2 linked regions of the Drosophila melanogaster genome follow. The gene in region 1 interacts genetically with each later gene. Each region holds a gene or a part of one and is shown on either strand. Other genes may lie near its edges.

Region 1 (5,562 bases):
CACACGTCCCGCCAGAAATTGCACGTAAGAGTTCTCGTAGCCGGCCAGCACGATAATCTCGTCGATAAGCTTGTGGTCATTGCGAATGAGTGCGTCGCAAACGTCCATTATCCGCGTGCAGATGAAGCCCTTTGCGTTCTGCTTCAGGTAGATATCGAACAGTAGCTGCAGATTCGACAGAAACTGCAGCAGCTTGTTGGTGGGCCACTCCCGCAGGTAGGCTATCCGTTTCTGGCCGTTGGTGTCCTGTGAGTAATGCGACTGGAAGGGCTTGCGCAGCGTTCGCTCCGAGACGCCGCACAGGCACTGGCGGGTCAGGGACTGCTCGAACTCCAGCATATCGTCGATGGACGTGGCTGTTGTTGCTTGCAAGCAATTGCTCCTGCTGCTAGCATGACTGCCATTGCCGTTGGTCGTGTCGAGGGTTAGCAGGTTGGGCAATTTGGCCGCCCTGTCCACTTCGTCATGGGCGGATTCAGGCTGGCTGTGCAGGTCTGTGTCCCCGTTTTGTGGCAAGATGTTGTGCAGCAGCTGGGCGTACGACGCCGCCCGGGAACTACAGGGCGTGGTGGTGGGGGAGTTGTTGGCGGTGCTTGGCGTTGACAGCGAGTGCGAAGAGGACGAGGAGAGCGAGGAGCACAGGTGGCTGTTGCTGTTGGCGTCCAGGTCCAGTATATCCGGCGGATGGGGCGGCTGGGGTGGCAGCGCCTTGGAGCCCACCTTGATTTGCTGCTCGATCTTCTGGCGCTTGGTCTGCGGCTGTTCGTTTGATGCGGAGGTCGTGGAGGTTGCTACCGTGGAGCATGGGCACACATCGCCCGTTCCGGCTCCAGATCCTGCTGCGGATGAGGTGTCCATCCTCCGCGCTGACGTACCCGACGTCCTGCAAATGGTCTGCAAGCGAAATGCCCGGTGAGCAGCGAATCTAAGCGGCGGCTCGCAGCCACATACCTACAAACCCGATTCCGACAAACAGCTTCCGTGCTACGCGCACACAAGGTTACGTGTGCAGACGCTGCTGCCTGGCTTCGTGGGGCGATTCTCTCGGCTTCCTGAGACACACTATGATTTCTTGGGGGCGACGAGGGCGCTCTAGCTGCCGCCAGGTGCTCTGACTGCTCCTCCAAACATTTTAAACGGCCACAATTCGATTTTCACACACTTGTTGCACTCTTCGGGCCAGCGACATGTCAATGTTTATGTGAGTTTCACTGCACTCGCGTTTCGCTTCGTGCCCGGGCCAGTCGATTGGGTCGTGTGCTGTTTCTCACTTTTTAAGCGCCTCCGATTGTTTCTCTGGCACTGCTTTTATTTTGGTTTTATTACACTTTATTATGTGGGAAAAAACAAAAATTAAGTGCGCGTCGCCATCTTTTAGCGAGTTTCAGCTACCTGGTAACCCTACTTGCGCAGCGTTGCCAAACGGATCTTGGTATTTGGCGTTAGCTATATACATAGCCAGGCTCGCAACCATAGCTCTGTCGTCACAACTCAATTCACATATATTTTACTTTCCGAAATGTATTATTTTTTAAAAATAATTATTGCACGCTTATAACTTTAGCAACAATGTTTGCTAAAGTAATTCTAATAACAATGACTCCGGTAGTTTTAATTTTCTAATGCGTGATAATAATTAAGTGCTTGAGAATTATAAGATTGCAGAGAACTTAACAAAAAATATTTTGTGAGAAGCTAATTACAGATAACAAATATTTTTCAATTTATATGTGCTAATTTAACGGGTAACTTTAAAGTAATTTTAAGAATGTTTTTATTTTTACATTTTTGACATTAAATAATAGAAATGCTATTCGATAGTCATTGACACCTGACAGCCCTGAACACCGAGCGTGCTGCCACATCGAGATAAAATTATGCCGTTAGCGGCGGTTAAGTCGTTTTGAAAATTTCAGTTTATGTCCTTTTGCCTACCGGTGCAGACGATCTAGGAGTAGGAAGTTCTCAGTTCATCTCCACGCGGCCACACACAGTAAATTCGCACACACTGCAAACCGATCGGCACATTAAAACAAGAGCGCGGCCGACGTGGCAACACTCGCTTGTTTTTCATTTGACATTGAAAGGTGCTCGCGAATTCCAGAAAGGACGTTGGAAAATCGGCAGCCGCTCAGTCAGTACCTATCAAAAGCAAACACGGCGAAGTTGTGGTGCGGTGCTCTGGAGATTTGCCGGAGCCAGATAATAGGAACTACCCGACGCCTAAGCAGCCGGATCCGCTATTATAAGTGAAGTGTCGCGAGCGGTCGAAGCAGTTCGCCTGTGCTCTCTTCTCCGTGTGCTACTAATTTGCATCGAGTGCTAAATAGTCCTCCCTTGCCCTTCTACTCCGCATCCGCCTGCTGTTCCTGCTTGGGATAACTGAAGTAAGATGGCCGGCCCACTTCCTCCGCTCAACCAGGAGGCAGCGTTCCAGAAGCTGCAGGAGTACTACGACTCCAAGGGCAAGGACCTGAACATCAAGGACCTGTTCGTGAAGGATTCCAAGAGATTCTCAAAATACAGGTGGGTTTTTGTGTCGATTTCGCCTCAGAGGGTGGAAGTTACGTATCTAGTTCCCGCATACATACACTCATTCGTGTATCCCCCATCGGCAATCGTTTATTCATCGAGTTGCGCTTTGCCCACTTTCACTTTCACCATCGGCTGTCGAGTGTCGCCGCCACTCGATTTGTCCTTGCGTAAGGTCACAGCAACGACCTCCGAATCGTACTTGCTCTGAGGTCAAATGTTTTTCGTTTGTTTATCAGCCTGCGCCTGCACACCCAGAACGATGGCGAGATACTGCTGGACTACTCGAAGAACCGTATCAATGACGAGGTCTGGGATCTGCTCCTCACCCTGGCCAAGGTGCGCCGCGTTAACGCCGCGCGGGACGCCATGTTCTCCGGCCAGCACATTAACATCACGGAGAACCGCGCCGTCCTCCACACGGCCCTGCGCAACCGCGGCACGGATCCCGTCCTGGTGGACGACAAGGACGTGATGCCCGATGTGCGCGCCGAACTGGCCCACATGAAGGAGTTCACCAACATGGTCATCTCCGGCGTGTGGCGCGGCTGCACCGGCAAACAGATCACCGACGTGGTCAACATCGGCATCGGTGGCTCCGATCTGGGCCCGCTGATGGTCACCGAAGCGCTGAAGCCCTACGGCAAGGGCCTTCACTCCCACTTTGTGTCGAACATCGATGGCACTCATCTGGCCGAGGTCCTCAAGAAGGTCAACTACGAGACCACCCTCTTCATTGTCGCCTCAAAAACTTTCACCACCCAGGAGACCATTACGAACGCCACCTCCGCCAAGACCTGGCTCCTGGAGCATTCCAAGGAGGTAAGTACAGCGAAAGGTCGAACATTAAATGACCTTCATTGATAGCGCTTTAAGCAAAGATAACCAAACTAATACAATGAACCATCAATGGACCCTAGTGATTTTTCTTATCATTCTATAAGAACCATTTTGACGTGTTCAAGCTATCAAATCAATTTAATGTGCTTATCAAATGCAGCCTATGGACTTAATCAAAGGCTAAATCGGATTTCAAATTCGAATTAAATGTTTCCAATATGAAATTCCACTTGCCTTAAATGTAAAATAGATAACGCAGCCAAAGCAAATAGTTACATCACAACATTTTAGTCTGGCCTATATTTGCAAACTATTTTTGTTTTGTTTTAGCCTGAGTCCGTGGCCAAGCATTTTGTGGCCCTGTCGACCAACAAGGAAAAGGTCACCGAATTCGGCATTGACAGCACCAACATGTTCGGTTTTTGGGATTGGGTGGGCGGTCGCTACTCCCTGTGGTCGGCCATTGGACTGTCAATCTGTCTGTCCATTGGCTTTGAGAACTTTGAGCAACTGCTGGATGGAGCTCACTTCATGGACAACCATTTCAAGACGACACCATTCGAGAAGAATGTAAGACTCAACTGAGAGTTAAGTAAAATGATTATAGTTAACCATTTTATTGGCTTTCCTAGGCTCCTGTTATCCTGGCGTTGCTAGGCGTTTGGTACTCCAACTTCTTCAAGGCGGAAACACATGCCCTCCTTCCCTACGATCAGTACTTGCACCGGTTCGCCGCCTACTTCCAGCAGGGCGATATGGAGAGCAACGGCAAGTTCGTCAGCAAGTCGGGCAAACCCGTCAAGTACAGCACTGGTCCGATCGTGTGGGGCGAGCCTGGCACCAATGGCCAGCACGCCTTCTACCAGCTCATCCACCAGGGCACCCGCCTGATCCCCTGCGATTTCATCGCTCCCGCCCAGACACACAATCCCATTGCCGGCGGCAAGCACCACAAGATTCTGCTATCGAATTTCCTTGCCCAGACGGAGGCTTTAATGGCCGGAAAGACGGTCGACGAGGCCAGGACCGAGCTGTCCAAGGCTGGCCTGTGCGGCAACGAGCTGGATAACTTGTTGCCCCACAAGGTGTTCGTCGGCAACCGGCCCACAAACTCGATTGTGGTGAAGAAGGTTTCACCTTTCACCCTAGGCGCGTTGATTGGTACGTCTCACTGTTTCAGCTCACGAGCACCTATTAATGTCAATTGATTTTGCAGCGCTGTACGAGCACAAGATCTTCGTTCAGGGCATCATTTGGGACATCAACTCGTTCGACCAATGGGGTGTGGAGCTGGGCAAGCAGCTGGCCAAGGCCATCGAGCCGGAGCTGGATCACTGCAACGAGGTCTCCACGCACGACAGTTCCACGAACGGTCTAATTAACTTCATCAAAGCCAATTGGAAGTAATCATGTCTGGCTATTTGTTGCGAATTAAAAAGAAATGTTTACACAAATGCTCTAATTGTTAGTAGTTTCTGAGCCGTTATTCAGTAGCCGCCGCTTATGTATACTCGAGCTACAAGCCCCCTGTTATTGGCACATTATTCAACTGTATTTATGAACTGGATATGTTTGTTTGCTTGCGTATCGATGAAATCTCGTGTCGGAATTAGACCAACAATTGGCTCTCACTATTCGTTGTTGCACGTAGTTTAAAACCGTAAATAAAAATTTATGAATTCGATGTAAAAGACTGTGTTTGGAAAAAAATGCTAATTTATTTTCTCGCGGCGCAACAACAAGGGAATTGCATTTAAGCTTAAATTACGGGTAGACTGTCTAATCCATGGATACGTCAGAGTCTGTGTCTGCGTCGGCGTTACCATCGTCGGTCGCCAGGTCGTCGTCGGCCACCAGCTCGTCTTCCAATGGGCTCTTCGGACTGCCTGGCTGATCCTCCTCCAGATCGCTCCAGTTCGTTTCTGCTTCGGGATCGGGCTCATCTGCAAGCAAGCGAATTAAGACTCGAGCCTTGTGCGAATAAAACCACTTGATAACTTACCTGGATCTTCGTCCAGGATCAGGGCTTTGTTATCGTTGAGATGATTGTCCGCGTTGCGTTTCATCTGGTTAATTATCAGGTTGACTCGCCCGGTTATTCTAAAAATAAAGAAGGCATTGAAAAGGTGTTATAACAATATTGCCAATATAACAATAATAGGAGTACACGCATTACTAAATTTTGTCGTG
Region 2 (4,159 bases), on another chromosome or scaffold:
CGCTGAAGAACTTACTCCTGAAGATGATGGGCGTGGACATTGATCAGCAGGCGGAGGCAATCCACCGCTTCTCGGTGGCCAGTCAGCATCGCCTGCAGTCCATGGACTCCAATATGCGCTCCACGCAGCCGCGCCTCTATGTGGGTGAGTGTGAGTGCGCGTTGTCTCCTTGGAACTGTGGCAAAATCCCTATAACTCTCGTAACATTCCCTGCAGATTCACCCATTTGGTTGAGGCAGCAGCAGGAGGCCCTGAAGAACTCCCAGCTCCTGCCCAAGTGCGGAGTGGTGTCGCCCTGTTTCAACAACATCAACCAAACGGTGGCCGCCGTGGCTTCGGTGACCACAGATCTCGAGCGAGAAATGTGGAACATAGTGGAGGCCTCCAGTGGCGCCGAGCTGGGTGAAACCAGCTACGAGTTCCCTTCCCCCGCTCCGGGTTCCCAGCGCAGCAGTGAACGAAATAGCAGTTCCACAGTCCCACCAGCTCCTCCTGCTCCTGCGAAGCCCTCAGTTCCGTCCGCCTCCTATGACAACCACAACTACAGTTTCAGCCAGGATGAGGACGAAGATGATGATGATCTGGAGTTTGAGGACGTATTCGTGCCGGCCAGCTCTGTTCCAAATCCCGTTCAGCCTGGCATAGATCCCGTGGAACTGCGTCGCTCCCTGGCTTTGGTCATGAGGGAGAAATTGCGATCGGATGACACGGACTCCAGGCCAATGGGCAACAATCAGGATCTTCCCATAGATGAACAGTCCAGGGAGAGACCGCTCTCCACTCAAACATCTCCCACAAATGGCCCACTTCCGGCTCTTCTGAGGGCCAAACTGCTTGCTGGCAACTCCAATAGCGCTCACTGCCTGCCAGGATCCACGGCGAGTCCTGCTCCCCAGGAGCAATCCGGTATCTTTGTGATCGATAGTGAGGCGAGTCCCGGCTCAAATGGGCACAAGCCTAAGTATCGAAAGGGCACGGCATTCACTCGGAGTTCGCTGAAGAAGAGCCGATCCTGCAACTGTAGCTCCATCGCTAAGGGACGAGGGGTCCACGACGAGCCCAGCAGTAATCTCTGCAGGGATCAGGAGTCCTCTGTACTTCCACAGCATCCGCAGCCAGCCAACCATCCCACAGAGAACTTTTTTAGTCCGCTGAGATCGGTGGGCAGTTTCATGCAGCATTCCAACTTGTTTCACTTCCTCCAGCCTCACGCCGCCCGTCCCACCTCATCGACGGCGTCGTCCACGGCCTCCACGCCCACTCCATCACCACCGCCCATGGGCCAGGCTCAGGAGGAATCGGTTCCAGTGGGTCTGACCACCTCCTCGCCGTCCCTTCTGGCGACCAGCGCGGAGAGTTGACCTTCGCGGTCGGAAAAGAAGCGGGATCAGCAGGAAAGTCCACTGGAAGAGGATCACAAGGATGCGAAAGGGGTAAGGGGTGACCCCTGAGGAAATACTCGCAAGTCAAAGCTTTTACGTTAAGTACTTTCCAGCTCTCTTAGGCTCTCTTTCGGAAACGTTGTCAAATTCTATATCGGATCTAAATCAATTAGTTCGGTAGTGAAATATAGAGATTAGGAGCTATGCGCATTTATTTTGAGTGTATGGTCATAATACGTTTCTACGGACTAGTTAATTATGTACATACATATGTTTAATGTTGTTAGAGTATTTACTGTGTATATGTCAGCTTATGTATACCTGAACGTCTGTGAAAACCAAGTTAAGCCATGCGACATGAATTTCAAAGTTGAAGTTAAATAAAGCGATTAAACCAGAATGTACATTCATGTTGTGTTTTATTTTTGTTGGTTAAATAAGTCCTGATGCGATGTATGCCTATTGGTAGGGTATACAAGTTTTTCTTTTACATATGCTAGTATAGCGGATTTTGGCAAGCCTGTTGATAAAAGCTTTTCCAGAGCTTTTTGGAAGCGACGCCAAAACTATTGGAGCTCACTTGCTCAAAGTTCCCCATCAGATGGTTGGAGTCACTGCTAAATCTAAAACCGGCAACATTTTTAAAACCCCAACAAGCCGTTTATATAATTTCAGAATAACTTTTACTACTCCTTACTTACTATTGTAACCACAATAGAAATGCCGCCTGGAGTACTCAATGATCTGAACAGGAACGGTATCCAGTGCATTGCATCAGTAACGCTTCTCCAGCGATTCCCGTATCATCGGAACCACCACACCATCCCCACCATGGACCAGAACCGACCCACTGTGGGTGGTGTTACGGCGGAGGTACTAAAAGCCGTCGTTTCGGAAGCTCTGCTGGGCAAATTCACAGCTGTTTTCCCAAAGCTTTTCAAGTGCCAGTGGAAGACTTACGAAGGTCAAAAGAAGGTTAGTACATAAGCAGACGAACTTCGAGGTGGGTGTGTGCTCTGTGCCGGGATTAATCTCGAATCTGGGAAAAATCTGAGTGGAAAAGTCGACGGCGAGCCTCCAGTCATCGAGTTACCCACTTGAAATTATCAGTTCCAAACACTCTAATAGCAGTCCCCTTGTTTTGTCCCCCGATCCGCAGTTCTACGCCAATTTCAGCACCGATTGCACCGACAGCAACAGCAACAACATGAGCCGAAAGTTCTGCGTGGGAGGCAACTGGAAGATGAACGGCGACCAGAAGTCCATCGCCGAGATCGCCAAGACCCTGAGCTCGGCCGCCCTCGACCCCAACACGGAGGTGGTCATCGGCTGCCCGGCCATCTACCTGATGTACGCCCGCAACCTGCTGCCCTGCGAGCTGGGTCTGGCCGGCCAGAATGCCTACAAGGTGGCCAAGGGCGCATTCACCGGCGAGATCTCCCCTGCGATGCTGAAGGACATCGGCGCCGACTGGGTGATCCTGGGACACTCGGAGCGTCGCGCCATCTTCGGCGAATCGGACGCCCTGATCGCCGAGAAGGCCGAGCACGCCCTGGCCGAGGGCCTCAAGGTCATCGCCTGCATTGGTGAGACCCTGGAGGAGCGCGAGGCCGGCAAGACCAACGAGGTGGTGGCCCGCCAAATGTGCGCCTACGCCCAGAAGATCAAGGACTGGAAGAACGTGGTGGTGGCCTACGAGCCCGTCTGGGCCATTGGCACCGGCCAGACCGCCACACCCGATCAGGTAAGGTCGCCCGCAGAGGCTAATCTCTTCCAGAACTGATATTTTCCCTTCCCAATTGCAGGCTCAAGAGGTCCACGCCTTCCTGCGCCAGTGGCTGAGCGACAACATCTCCAAGGAGGTGTCCGCCAGCCTGCGCATCCAGTACGGTGGATCCGTGACCGCCGCCAACGCCAAGGAGCTGGCCAAGAAGCCCGACATAGATGGCTTCCTGGTCGGAGGCGCCTCCCTGAAGCCCGAGTTCGTGGACATCATCAACGCCCGGCAGTAAGCAACGCGATCTCAAGCATCAGATCGCTTTCGGCCAGCGAACTGCCCGCGAAGGAGGCACTGGAGGGCAGGACTCCATACTCCTGCGCGCGAATGCATTACGCACACACCTAGTTGTTGTCACCACCAAGTGCAGTTCCAAATTCATAGTTACCTTGCGAGAATGCTACTCACATCCTTGTTGTTGAACGTATAGTAGTCCATTGTGTAAATCTTAAATTATTCAGGCAATAATTATGCGCTACTCATTTACTTATATACCAAACCAAACAGGTGTCTTATTTTTTGCAAGACTATTTCAGCTATTTTTAGAGCGATTGGTTGAACGACAAGGTGTCCAAAGTTGTGTGCACATATGTACATATATGTGTCACCTCTGCGGACCTTAAACCGAACAAGTTATTACTTAATTTCTGATAAGCATGCGAAATGGCAAATATTTGGAATATGAGTTCCAACTGAGTAATCGAGGCAATCATTGTATTCACTTACCTAACAAGTGAATCAAATCATTTGCATCATGTTTTTGACAATATCTTGCATAAAAGCCTTCAAGAAGAAGCAATGCATCATAAGATAGCTTAACTTGAGATAAGAAAGGAAAACAGTTTGTACTTATTATACTTTATACTTATACTCAGAGTTCATTTCTAATCGAAGTGTTCGAAGATTGTGCACAAAGTTTGGCAAATATGGAGCTAAACAAGGCAATTTCTTTGTAGCTGATAAGTTATTTAGCTTAGTAAGTAATTTATGGTTAGTAAAT

What was found.
Region 2: of Pgi (region 1) and Tpi, changing one enhances a phenotype caused by changing the other (phenotypic enhancement), as found in Drosophila melanogaster (one study listed by BioGRID).

The regions. Positions count from the first base shown.
Region 1 is NT_033778.4:8,910,397-8,915,958, reverse strand, and holds Pgi (phosphoglucose isomerase), read left to right. Parts: upstream 1-1,889; 5' UTR 1,890-2,249; exon of another isoform or gene 2,250-2,388; 5' UTR 2,389-2,392; coding exon 2,393-2,526; intron 2,527-2,771; coding exon 2,772-3,354; intron 3,355-3,702; coding exon 3,703-3,942; intron 3,943-4,004; coding exon 4,005-4,533; intron 4,534-4,588; coding exon 4,589-4,779; 3' UTR 4,780-5,059; downstream 5,060-5,562. Other genes in the region: lin (lines), read right to left, coding at 1-858; CG30349 (uncharacterized protein), read right to left, coding at 5,152-5,315, 5,375-5,472.
Region 2 is NT_033777.3:30,132,477-30,136,635, reverse strand, and holds Tpi (triose phosphate isomerase), read left to right. Parts: upstream 1-2,036; 5' UTR 2,037-2,102; coding exon 2,103-2,357; exon of another isoform or gene 2,358-2,541; coding exon 2,542-3,126; intron 3,127-3,187; coding exon 3,188-3,394; 3' UTR 3,395-3,655; downstream 3,656-4,159. Other genes in the region: AdoR (adenosine receptor), read left to right, coding at 1-150, 217-1,361.